3 linked regions of the Sus scrofa genome follow. The protein of the gene in region 2 interacts with the protein of the main gene of each other region in a pairwise test. Links are inferred from orthologs where the notes say so. Each region holds a gene or a part of one and is shown on either strand. Other genes may lie near its edges.

Evidence for each region.
Region 1: the proteins of PRKCI (region 2) and PARD6G interact in binary tests that used the Homo sapiens proteins (3 or more experiments, as listed by UniProt). The link is inferred for Sus scrofa from reciprocal best matches to the Homo sapiens genes PRKCI and PARD6G.
Region 3: the proteins of PRKCI (region 2) and PARD6B interact in binary tests that used the Homo sapiens proteins (3 or more experiments, as listed by UniProt). The link is inferred for Sus scrofa from reciprocal best matches to the Homo sapiens genes PRKCI and PARD6B.

The regions. Positions count from the first base shown.
Region 1 is NC_010448.4:128,163,606-128,167,254, forward strand, and holds part of PARD6G (partitioning defective 6 homolog gamma), read right to left. Parts: intron 807-3,649; coding exon 7-806; 3' UTR 1-6. UniProt on the Homo sapiens protein: Adapter protein involved in asymmetrical cell division and cell polarization processes. May play a role in the formation of epithelial tight junctions. The PARD6-PARD3 complex links GTP-bound Rho small GTPases to atypical protein kinase C proteins.
Region 2 is NC_010455.5:108,985,897-108,989,545, reverse strand, and holds part of PRKCI (protein kinase C iota type), read right to left. Parts: intron 3,618-3,649; coding exon 3,530-3,617; intron 2,070-3,529; coding exon 1,944-2,069; intron 804-1,943; coding exon 724-803; intron 1-723.
Region 3 is NC_010459.5:52,193,948-52,198,215, forward strand, and holds the start of PARD6B (partitioning defective 6 homolog beta), read left to right. Parts: upstream 1-1,412; coding exon 1,413-1,478; intron 1,479-4,268. UniProt on the Homo sapiens protein: Adapter protein involved in asymmetrical cell division and cell polarization processes. Probably involved in formation of epithelial tight junctions.

The sequences.
Region 1 (3,649 bases), on a different chromosome or scaffold from region 2:
CTGGCCCTACAGCGTGACTGCTGGACCATGCTCCTCCACCCCTCCTGGGGGCAGGTTTAGGCTATGCCGGGTTTCTGACCGGAGGGAGCTGAGCAGCTTGTGCATGCTGCCCTCTCGCCCAGGGCTATGCAGGCTGGATGCCAGGCTGGCTCCGTTGATCCGCGGGAGGCTGCTGGCCGGCGGCCTAGAGACCTCGAGGACTACATCAGCCTCCTCGTCACTCTCCATGTCATCCGGGGGCAAGTTCTGCAGGACGTGGGCAGTGGGCAGGCTGTGGCGGCTGGCCGTGCTGTCCGAGGATCGGCTGGAGCTGCCCGATGCGCGGCTGCCACGTACCACGTTGTTCCTCTGATTGGCTGGCTTGACTGTGACGATGAGGTTGTGGCTGTTGGCGATCATCATGTCTGTGACCTGGTCCAGCGTCTTCCCGGCCACCTCGATCCCATTTACCTCCAGGACCTCATCGTCCACGGCCAGCAGCCCAGTGCTCTCAGCCAGGCCTCCAGGCACCATGCGGGAGATGAAAATGCCGGGCACTTTCTCCAGCCCCTGCGGGGCCACGCGCACGCTCGTGCCATCGCGGATGTAGAAGCCCAGTGGCTTCTGGCAGCCGTGCCGGTAGAGCCTTACACGGCGGTGGGTCTCGGGGAGGATGTCCACATCGATGATGGAGGACACAGGGCGGAAGTCGTGCGGCAGGCCGATGTGCAGGTGCGCCCGCCGGCGAGGGCCGTCCTCCCGCAGGGCCAGTGCGCGCCGCCGCCTGGATAGTGAGCCTGCCCCGAAGCTGCCATGCTCAGCCTCCTCTGGAAGAGTGCAGAGGCAACAGTCAGAGGACAGACCATGGGGGCAATGTGGAAGCACCAGTCAGGCAGCATTGAGGCTGGCTGTCCAGGTGTATCTCGGCTTTCTGCAGCTTACCTTCCCACCACTTCTCTAATCTGTGATATGACCCCAGGGAAGTCCGAGGCAATGATTACCACAGTCAGATCAGGTAAAGACTGAAATAAATACACCTCTCACACAGGTGGTTAGGAGTTGAATGTTCATTTCAGCACACTTCACCTTCTGGGAAAGTCTCAACCTCCAGGATGATATGCAGACACACTGGAGTAACTGGATGACTTGCTTTGCTGAGCCCACAGCAATCAGCTGAGCTGGACTAACAGTATTCACCAGGTAAACGTTTGACACTGAATTCAAGCACGATCACCTCCCTAAAATTAGTTCTTTAAAAATCCCCAAACTGATCGCCTGCCAACCAGGCAACCAACAGAATGAATGAAAGGTTAAGAGAATTAGATGGAAGATTTAAAAGTGACTGACTGAATTCTGGGATGATGGTGGAACAGAAAGCATCATGAATATTTCCCCATCAGGACAATAACTGCAGGGCAGAATCTGTCTGATGTAACTCTTTTGGAACTTGAGAGTCTGCTGAAGGCTAAACTTCCAGGGGAAGAATTGGATGGTAATTGTGGTCGATTTTGGTCAATTTCAACACTTAGCACAGTAGCAGCTACTTTTCTACTATCCTAGCACCCAAGCAAGCAGCTGTGCACATGTTTCTGGAGCAGTTTGTGGGACCATGGTGGGAAAAAAATACCCTGTCCTCCAAACATCAGAGATCTATGCTCTGCTGCTGACTGCTACTTCTGATCACAAAGGCACAGACAGAGGTGAGTGGCTATTGTACCTCCCTGCCTTGTTGCAAGCCCATCCCTTCCAGCTAAAGGAATGTCCAGGAGAGTTATAGGGCTGGCACTCTTTCTCTTCCTTCATTTTTCATGTTTTCACATTTTGGAAGCCAAACCTTAAAGTCTAGGACATTAAAAACAACTGTATAAATGGGGAAAGTTGGAAAGTGACTGCACACGCATAAGGAAAATCTCAGAATGAACCTTAGAAGAACTTAAGTTCACATCTTAATGCTCATACTCAGCAAAGAGACAGCCTACAATAATTTTCAAAAACCCAAAAGAGTAACAACAAAAACTTAGCAAACCCTGAGGAAGGGGTAGAATCTGATTTCCAGAGAGCTACCACATCATTAAATTAATCTCCAATGTTTAGCAAAAAAATCCACAGACATACAAATAAACGAGAGTATGATCTACTCAAAGGAAAATAACAGAAACTGTCCCTAAACCATCTGATGGCAGATTTACTAAAGACTTGATTTTTAATTTTTTTTTGGCCACTTCCATAGAATGTAGAAGTTCCCAGGCCAGGGACCAAACCCATGCCACAGCAGCAATGCAAGCCACTGCAGTGACAATACCATATCCTTAACCTGCTATGCCACAAGAGAATTCTAGGTTTATAGACAAAGACTTCAAAAAAGTGGCCTGGAGTTCCTATCGTAGTACAATGGTTAACGAATCTGACTAGGAACCATGAAGGTTGTGGGTTCGATCCCTGGCCTTGCTCAGTGGATTAAGGATCTGGTGTTGCCGTGAGCTGTGGTGTAGGTTGCAGACACAGCTCAGATCCCCCATGTTGCTGTGGCTATGGTGTAAGCCTGTGGCTACAGCTCCAATTAGACCCCTAGCTTGGGAACCTCCATACGCTGCAGGAGCGGCCCTAGGAAAGGCAAAAAGACAAAAAGACAAAAAAAAAAAAAAAAAAAAAAAAAGACATGATCAAAAACCTAAAAAAAAAGATATGGGGAAAAAATGTATGAAATGGAAATATCAATAAAGAGACAGAAAACCTAAAGGGAAACCAAGTTGAAATTCTGGAGCCGAAAAGTACAATAACTGAAATGAAAAACTCACTAGGGGGATTCAAAGGCAGATCTGAACAGGTAGAAGAAGGAATCAGTGAGAAACAAAAAAAAATTAAAAGTGAACAGAGCCTAAACAACTGCTGGGATACCATTAAACAAACTGACAAGTAACTTGTGAGAGTCTCAGAAGGAGAAGAGAAAGGAGTGGAGGGACTATGAAGAAACAATACCTGAAAACTCCCAAACTTTATGAAATGCAGAAATATAAACATCCAAACTCGATGAACTCAAAGAAACCCAAACCAAGTCACAATATAATCTCACATGCCCCAGGACACAGGGCAGAAGCAGTAATTTGAAAAGAGGCTGAGTCAGGCCCACCTGCTGATCTTGGAGAGTCTCTTGGAGAGGCAGGAAGCAACTGAAGTTCTCCTGGGGACACAGACACTGTGGCAGCCATTTTGGGGGAACCTGTACCACCACATGGACACTGGTACTGGCAAGTGCCATTTTGGAGTCCTCTCTCTAGCTTGTTAGTCTCAGGACCCAGCCCCATCCCTGGACCACAGCCTGTAAGGCATCTGTACCGGGAGGCCCCAGGACAAACAACTAGCCAGGCAGGGACACAGCCCCACCCACTGGCAGGCAGGCTACTTTAGGACATTATGAGTCCGCAGCTACTCCTGCAGATATCCCTGCCCAGTGGAGAGCCTAGGACCTAACACCACATACCAGTGTACTGGCACTAGACCCAAGATCCACAGGCCCTGCAGCCAGAGACTGTAGGACCCAGCTCTGCCTACCAGTGGACAAGTACCAGCCCCAGAACTCCCGTGGCCCCAGCTTTGACCACTAGCAGGAAGACAATAGTCCTAGGACTACAACAGCCCTGCAACATGCTGTGGCAGGATGCAACCCACT
Region 2 (3,649 bases):
AGTTTAAATCTTTCTTCATATAAAATATTTGTTTAAAATAAGCCTGAATTTATCTTTTTAAATCAATATCATATCTATTTATCTTAGAAACTAAATGTACATCAACCTACTTTCTAATCTACCACTTATTTAAAATAAGATTTTTAAAGTAAGAGTTGGAGAGTTGGTTGTTTGTGTGGAAAACAAAAAACAAAAAACTACACATGTGGTGTTAGAAGTGATAAGTAAAAACACTTCAGAATTGTAATCTTAGATCCTAAAATGCTTTTAGTCCATCAATGCAACAAACAATGGAATGGTGTTCAGATTTTTTAAAGAGCCAATGATAGCATTTCATTTCTTCTGAATATTATCTAATTATAGGGTTTTGATATGAGATTTTGTAGGGAATCTACTGCCCCAAGTTCTCAATAATAAGTAAAGATACTCTATGAAAATTTTAAAAAATAGAGCTGAAAATAAAATTAAGACTATCCCCAAAGATGTAAATTTTCCCTAATTGAGTACATGGTATATATCATTTACCTTGAAAACACCACATGCAATATATAGCTGGGGGCAAATTAAATGGAAATAACTCCTCTCAGGATCTAATGCTGCCAACTTACTCTTTGATGATGGTCCATTGTCTCTGATTTCAGAGTTTTAAGGTGCCTGGACTTCTACTTACCAGTTTCATTTGTACGGAGATAAATCACTACAGATTTTATACACAATTTATACCTTGTTGAGGAAGCTCTTCAGGACACTTGCAGCTTTTACAGACAGAGAACGTGGTATGCGAATCTGTTTTTCCAAAATAACTAGAAAGGTAAAATTTATGGCATTTTATTTAACTTTTACAAGTCTTTAAATTTTTATTATGAGATAATTAAGGCATTCTAGCAGGAAAAAACCAAGACATTACACACACCACTTAAGCGTCCTGTGTATTCCCAATCCCATTCCTTTCCTTCCTTCTCAGAGACAGCTCCTAATCTAAATAGTTTTTATAATATTTACCTGGATACATTTTATTCTTTGACTACTTTCCTTTGTCTTGGTTTCATCTGTGCAATTGGAATACAAATAATACCTGATTCATAGGGGTGTTAAGAGGTTTAAATGAGTTAGTATCAGTAAAATGTGTGGTATACATTACTATATCGATTTTACTGGATGTTGCCAAATCATTCTCCAAAGCTGCAGTGTCAATTTTTACTACCACTACCAGTCTAAGAGAGTTCCAGTTGCTCTGTATCCTCACCAGCACAGTTATTATCAGACTTTAAAAATTTTTGTCAAATGCGTGGGTATGAAATAGTAGCTCATTAACATTTTAATGTGCACACACCTAATTGGTAGTGAAGTTGAATGTCTTTCCATATATTCCACAGCCATATGGATTTCCTATTACATGAAAGATCTATCCATTTCCTGTGACGGCCTTAACTGCTAAACACAGGATCTTACGGTAACTTCTTTGGACTGTGTGTTGGGGGTGGTCCTTGTGCCTGTCTGCTTGTTTCTTTCTGTTCTGTTCATTTCTTTGTTATTTCCAATTTAGGGGCTTTTTTTTCTTTCACCTTTTGATCCCTCTTGTTTTCTTAGTACTCTACTTTTCCTCCATACTGTTCTTAGATTTATGCATTCGGCCTCATGGTCCAGGTGAAAAGACTGTCCGCTCTACACACACAATTCCTTCCTCCAATCTCTGCGATACACCATCTGAAAGAACCTCTTTCTGTGTTTTTGGGTATGAGAAGGTAACTAGCAAATGGACTGAAGACAAGAGAAGTAAAAAAGGATATATTGAAATAAAAACAAACTTAAAGCTTCACATGTTAAGGAATATACTGTCCAGATGATTCTCTTTCTTACTCAAAGTTAATACTTAAGCTGTCCTCATTCATGCTCTAGAACAGGTTATCCACAGAGAATCTCTGTAAAATACTGCAAATTACCTTGAAAAAGATAATCCTCTGTGTTTTGATCAGGGTTATCAGAGCTCCCAACAATATCAAATGGAGACCTTCCTGCCATCATCTCAAACATTAGTACTCCAAGGGCCCACCAGTCAACACTGAAACCTTTGAAAAAGAAATTTTAAAGCAACAAATTATCCATTCTGCGGTCTTAAAAGTCAGTGATTTGAGATTCATTTTATTACATAATAAAAAAGTAAACTTCATGAAAAAGCAAACTCTAAATGCATTACAACTATCATGGTAGGCATTGAGGATTACGGGACTATTTCACTTACCAAAAAAAATTTCACTTATCAGGAGTTCCCATCATGGCTCAGTGGTAATGAACCCAACAAGTATCCATGAGGATGTGGGTTTGATCCCTGGTCTCACTCAGTGGGTTAAGGATCTGATGTTGCTGTGGCTGTATCTGATATTTCAAGGATATAAGTGTACTGAGAATAGCCTTCCTTGGTCTGCAACTTGATCTCCTGTTACCTGATTAGATTCTTAAAGGACTTTGGAACCAGATTATGAGCAGCTATCAGAAGTACCCATCCTCCTTTATAACTGCTGAAATCAGAGGGCCAGAACCCAAAGGGTCAAATATTTTAAGATAAACATATCCTCTGGTTCCTAACAAGCAGTCAATCTTAGATTCCTAGGAAAAATACCCCACAATATCTGAACAATTTTCCAGAGGTTTATGACTCTAGAGTCACATGGCTGAAGTTTAAATCCCAACTCTTCCTGTTTCTAGCTACATGACCTTGGGCAAGTGATTTAAACTTTCTGTAAATCAGCTTGTTTGTAAAATGGTAATTAATAGTGCTTACCTCACAGGATCATTGAGAGGATTAACTTAGTTAATATATGCAAACTGCTTAAACTTGTGCCTAGCACTGTTAAGTGCTTGCATTAATAAAATGTATTATTCAAATTTGCACCCTCAAAATCTGCCAAGGTCCCACTGTCTCCAATTTCAGAGTCTGGGGTTTTCACACTGGTTTTAAGAGGATCAAGAAAGTTTATATTGGAGTTCCCTGGTGGCTCAGTTGATTAAGGATCCAGCATTGTCGCTGCTATGGTTTGGGTCGCTGCTGTGGCGCAGGTTTACAGGTTGAATCCCTGGCCCGGGGACTTCTGCATGCCATGGGTGCAGCCAAAAGAAAAAAAAGGTTTATATTAATAAGATCAGTATTAGAGTTCCCACTGTGGTACAATGGGATGAGCAGTGTCTCTGCAGTGCTGGGACAGAGGTTTGATCCCTGGCCCAGCACAGTGAATTAATTAAGACGTTGCTCCATGTGCCATGGGGCAGTCAGGAAAAAAAAAAAAGAAAAAAAGATCAGTATTGAAATACTACAGTGTACTGTAATGCAATTACTACCATATATATATATATATATATTTTTGGACAAGTTCATGGCATGTGGAAGTTCTTGGGCCAGGGATCAAACCCAGGCCACAGCAGTGAAAACACAGGATCCTGAACTCTCTGAGCCACCAGGGAACTCTGCAATTGGTACCATATTTAACCACCCTTCTAGTATATAGTCAAATGTCACTAGTTTATTTATTACCATAATCTTCTCCTCTTAAAATTTCAGGAGCAATGTAATTAGGAGTGCCACAGAAAGTGCTGGTTGTATCTCCTGGCCGTAATCCTTCCTTTTATGAAAAAAAGAAAAAACAGTTTAAGA
Region 3 (4,268 bases), on a different chromosome or scaffold from region 2:
CAAGCCCAGGTCCAGCTGATGGAGGGTTCCAATGATTTTGATGAGCAGCAGTGCTGCTGGGAGCCCCTCTGCAGGTGGGTGGGGGCCTTGGGGGTCTCCTCACCGCCCTAGCAGGGCCAGTGCTGAACAGGGTTCCTGTGAGGAGAAAGCCAGTTCTGGGGCATTTAGAGAGACGGATTCAGTCATTTATTATCTGCCGGGTGGGGAGACAACGAACACAATCCAGTCATTGGTGCACAAAGCGAATAGCCCAGAAACGGCCAGAGGGAGAGGGAAACTTCAGAGATTAAAAAAAAAAATAAAAAGGAAAGCCCTGGAAGGCTGATCTAGAAGTACTCTCTGCCGGACCTTCGAGAAGCCATCCATGGCCTCAGCCCTCCGTTCTAGTGCCCACTCAACCCCTTGGGATCTGACGGACTGAAGAGTCTTTACTAACAAAACTAAGTCAGGAGAGCCCCTGAGATTCTTGCCCAGTAACTGCTGCAGAGGCGAGAAACTTGAATTTTGCAATCAGAGTTGCAGCCAGAAGCCTAAACGACGTATATGGGTGCTGGAGGGGCATTGTTGCAGGCTGCAGCATCCCAAAGTGGAAGGGAAGGGACAGCACAAACCTATCAGCCCCACCGCGCCTCCGCAATCACCCGGGCGCGAGCTCCGGCCGGGTGCAAGGCAACGCGGCGCGCGCCTGCGCGTGCGCAAACGGCCAACCCGCCCTAGCTCGTCTCCAGGTGCGCTCACGCTTCCGGCCAGCGGTCCCGGGGCGGAAACTCCAGAGCGCGCGCATGCGCTTTCCAGCTCTCCTGCTTGGTCGAGAGAGGAGGCCCAAGGCTTCAGGTGATCCCGCCCCTCCCTCGCAACGCGGGACCAATTGTACGGCGGTAGGCGGGATTTTCGAGAAGGCGGCCCGCCCATGCGCTTCGCGAGGCGTGTATCAATTGGTTGGCGCTGAGGGCGCAGGTGCGCGCTTCCCATTGGGTGTGGGCGGAGCGCGAGCGGCCAAGGCGTCTACGGAGGCTGCAGGTGAGCGCGCGCACGAGCCGCGGCTTTTGCCCGGCTCGAGTGCGCGCGCGCGCGGGCTCGCGGGGGAGGTGGCCGGGAGCGAGGCTGCGGCGCCTGTCTCCTCTGCTCCGCCTCCTCCTCCTTCTCAGCGTCTCCGCCGCCGCGGAGGCCGGGAGGGAGGGAGTCGCGTCCCCGCCTGCAGCGCCGCCAGTCCGACCCTTGGTTCCGCCGCGTGAGGATCCAGTCGAGCGGAGCTCTGCGCAGAAACCCGAGCTGCGGCCGCCCCTCTGCAGGTGCCTGTGAGGAGGCGCCCGGGCCGCAGCCGCGTCGCGATTCCACCCGCCGCGCACTAGCTCCCTGCGCTTCCAGGGGCGGCCCCGCTGGAGGAGGCCGCTGAGGGGCCCGGCCTCAGGATGAACCGCAGCCACCGGCACGGAGCGGGCAGCGGCTGCCTAGGGACCATGGAGGTGAAGAGCAAGGTGCGCGGGGCCCGGGCTGGGCGGAGCGGCCAGCTAGATGGGGACTGGGGCCGGGGCCTTGTGGGGATGAAGGGGACCGACTGGGGCCTGGGGGAGGCCAGGGGCTGGCCAGGGCCGGCCTTAGGAGCTGCCCGGGGGCTTGAGAGCGTAGGGGACGCAGTGGTGGGTTTTGTAGGTAGAAGAAAGTGGGTAATGAACTTGCTGAGAAGGGGGCGAGGGTGGGGGCATCGTGTCTGCCCCTGCTCCAGGTAGGAAAAAGACCAGTCTCCTTCCATAAAAATCGTTCCTGTTCTAGGATGGGAGCAAGGGCCGAGGTCTACCCGAGGGTGGGAGACGTTTGAGCGGAGCGTGGTACGAAACATTTGGAGGAATTCTATCTCCTGGCCTATGAGTAAAGGGTATTTAGAACACCCATGGTCACAAAATGTTACCTCTTCCTGTGGTTCAAGGGTGCATCGAGTAGTGGTGAGAGAGCCCAGGGAACTTAAGAGCCCTTCTAAAGTTAGCTTTGCCTCCTGCTAGGGATTTTTCTAGCTCTAACTTTGGCATGCATTTAATCTATAAAATTAACACAATCTCTACTTTCGTTAGCCCTTTACAGTTTGAATCTGGGTGCTCTTTTCATTCCATCATGCTACCTTTTCACGTCAAGTGTTTTCACTCTCGACCAACGGTATGTCAGTCTGCTGATAATTACCTCGGTAGCCACGGAATTCCTAAACTGCAAGGCTCCCTGAGCAGGATAGCGTATGAGATTAGTAAGGGAATGCTTTCCAAGGGGAGTTTTGAGCTGGAATTTGAAGATGATCCCCCGCCCCACCCCCAAACATGAATCGAAGAGCCAAAAGGGACTTAGATAATCTAGTCTGATTCTCCAGGAACATGAGGAGCTCAGAAAGGTTATGACTTCGACAAGCTCTGCTTTTTATGACAAAATCTTAAAGCCTTTTTAAGGATAAGGTGTAGGCTTCAGAGACTGCAAAAGAGAACAGGGGCCGGGCAACATGTGGCGTTGGGAAGATCAAAACACATGAAGGAAGAGGAGAAAAGTAAAACCGTATCAACTTAAAAAATAATGAAATATCATTGAATGTAAGATTACAGGAGGAGAATGCAAAATCAAGGGGTGATTTTCAGTGCAGTAGAGTAAGGAGGGCTCCCTGGAGCCTGTGGATAGAATGGTTTCTATTATCCAGAGTTGATAAGTAAAGTTCTGTAAATTGCTGTAACTGAGATCATTGCGCTAAGAATATCTACACTTTTTTTTTTTTTTTTTTTTGGTCTTTTTGCTATTTCTTTGGGCCGCTCCCGCGGCATATGGAGGTTCCCAGGCTAGGGGGTCTAATCGGAGCTGTAGCCACTGGCCTACGCCAGAGCCGTAGCAACGTCGTGTCGGATCCCAGCCGCGTCTGCAACCTACACCACAGCTCATGGCAACGCCAGATCCTTAACCCACTGAGCAAGGCCAGGGACCGAACCCGCAACCTCATGGTTCCTAGTCGGATTCGTTAACCACTGCTCCGGGACGGGAACTCCTACACTTATTATTAACATTATTTTAAAATGTAATTTTCAACCTAACTCGTGTATCAGAATAGGCACTAGTTTCAGAAACTGTTCTGCTTAATAAGAGTATAAATGTAATTATGGCAGTTTAAGGAATACACTTTCCAGTGTCCCCCATGGAACTGCCATAGCAAATTGAAGTAACATGCTTGAACTAAGTTAAGAATAACTCAAAATATATAGAACTTTCCCTCTAGTGTAGTGGTGGTAGTGGTTCCGTGCCCAGAGCTTGAACCTTTTCATGGCATTTCTGTTTTAAATCTAGTTTGGGTTTGTAGGAGTTGAGGTTAAGAAAAGAAAAACACTTATGATATTGCATAATCTTGAAATTCAGTTTGCGGTCCTAATCGTGGTAGCAAGTCTTTAATTTTTTATCATTGGAAAAAAATGAGTAAGGCTTCTAGGTGCACTGATAAATACAGTCAAGTAGTAATTTATCTCTGGGACTCGGAAACCTTGAGGTCTTGGGGACTGGAATTTCAGGCTTACTGCCCTTCTCTTCTGTCAACTGATCTGTGATTTTTTTCCCATACTATGTATTTTACTTGTCATTCTAGTGAATCATGTCTCTTAAATAGAATTAAGGCATTCTGAGAACCTGCATCTCATGAAGTGAGGTCCCACTCGAGTTCCAGCTCTTGATAAATAGGCACAGTGCTGTTTCTAGTGTGTCCTGACACCTTGTGTTTTAAATATGCATTTATTTTTAATGGATTAAATAAAACACCTGGCATCTTTGCCCTTTAAAAAATATTTGGACAGATGTGTGAAACAATACTTCCTTTTTCACTACCTTAGTGATATCACAACTTTTTACAAAGTTGTTCTCCAGGAGCTTGTAACCACAACTAGGTGATGTCCAGATCACCTTTCAGGATCTTTTTCTTCTGCACAGAAAACAGTATCAACTTTATTATCTTTGCTCATGGAAAGGGAAAATAGCACAAGTAATGGATAATACAAATATAACTATAGTTAAGTTGCGATGCCAGTTACCATGTGACTTTGGTAACTGATGTATCATCCTGTTTCTCCAGAGTTGGAAAAGCTCTTAATCAATAAGCAAGGTGGTGTCCTTTAATAACCTTGGGTTATTAAAGACTTGGAATAGTCTTTGGTCTGTACATTTCCTAGTTATTATTTGTGGGCAAACAGAATCTTAAAATTGTTTGCATTTCTAGAACATACCAAAAGATGCCGGGAGACGGATGTCCACACACATTC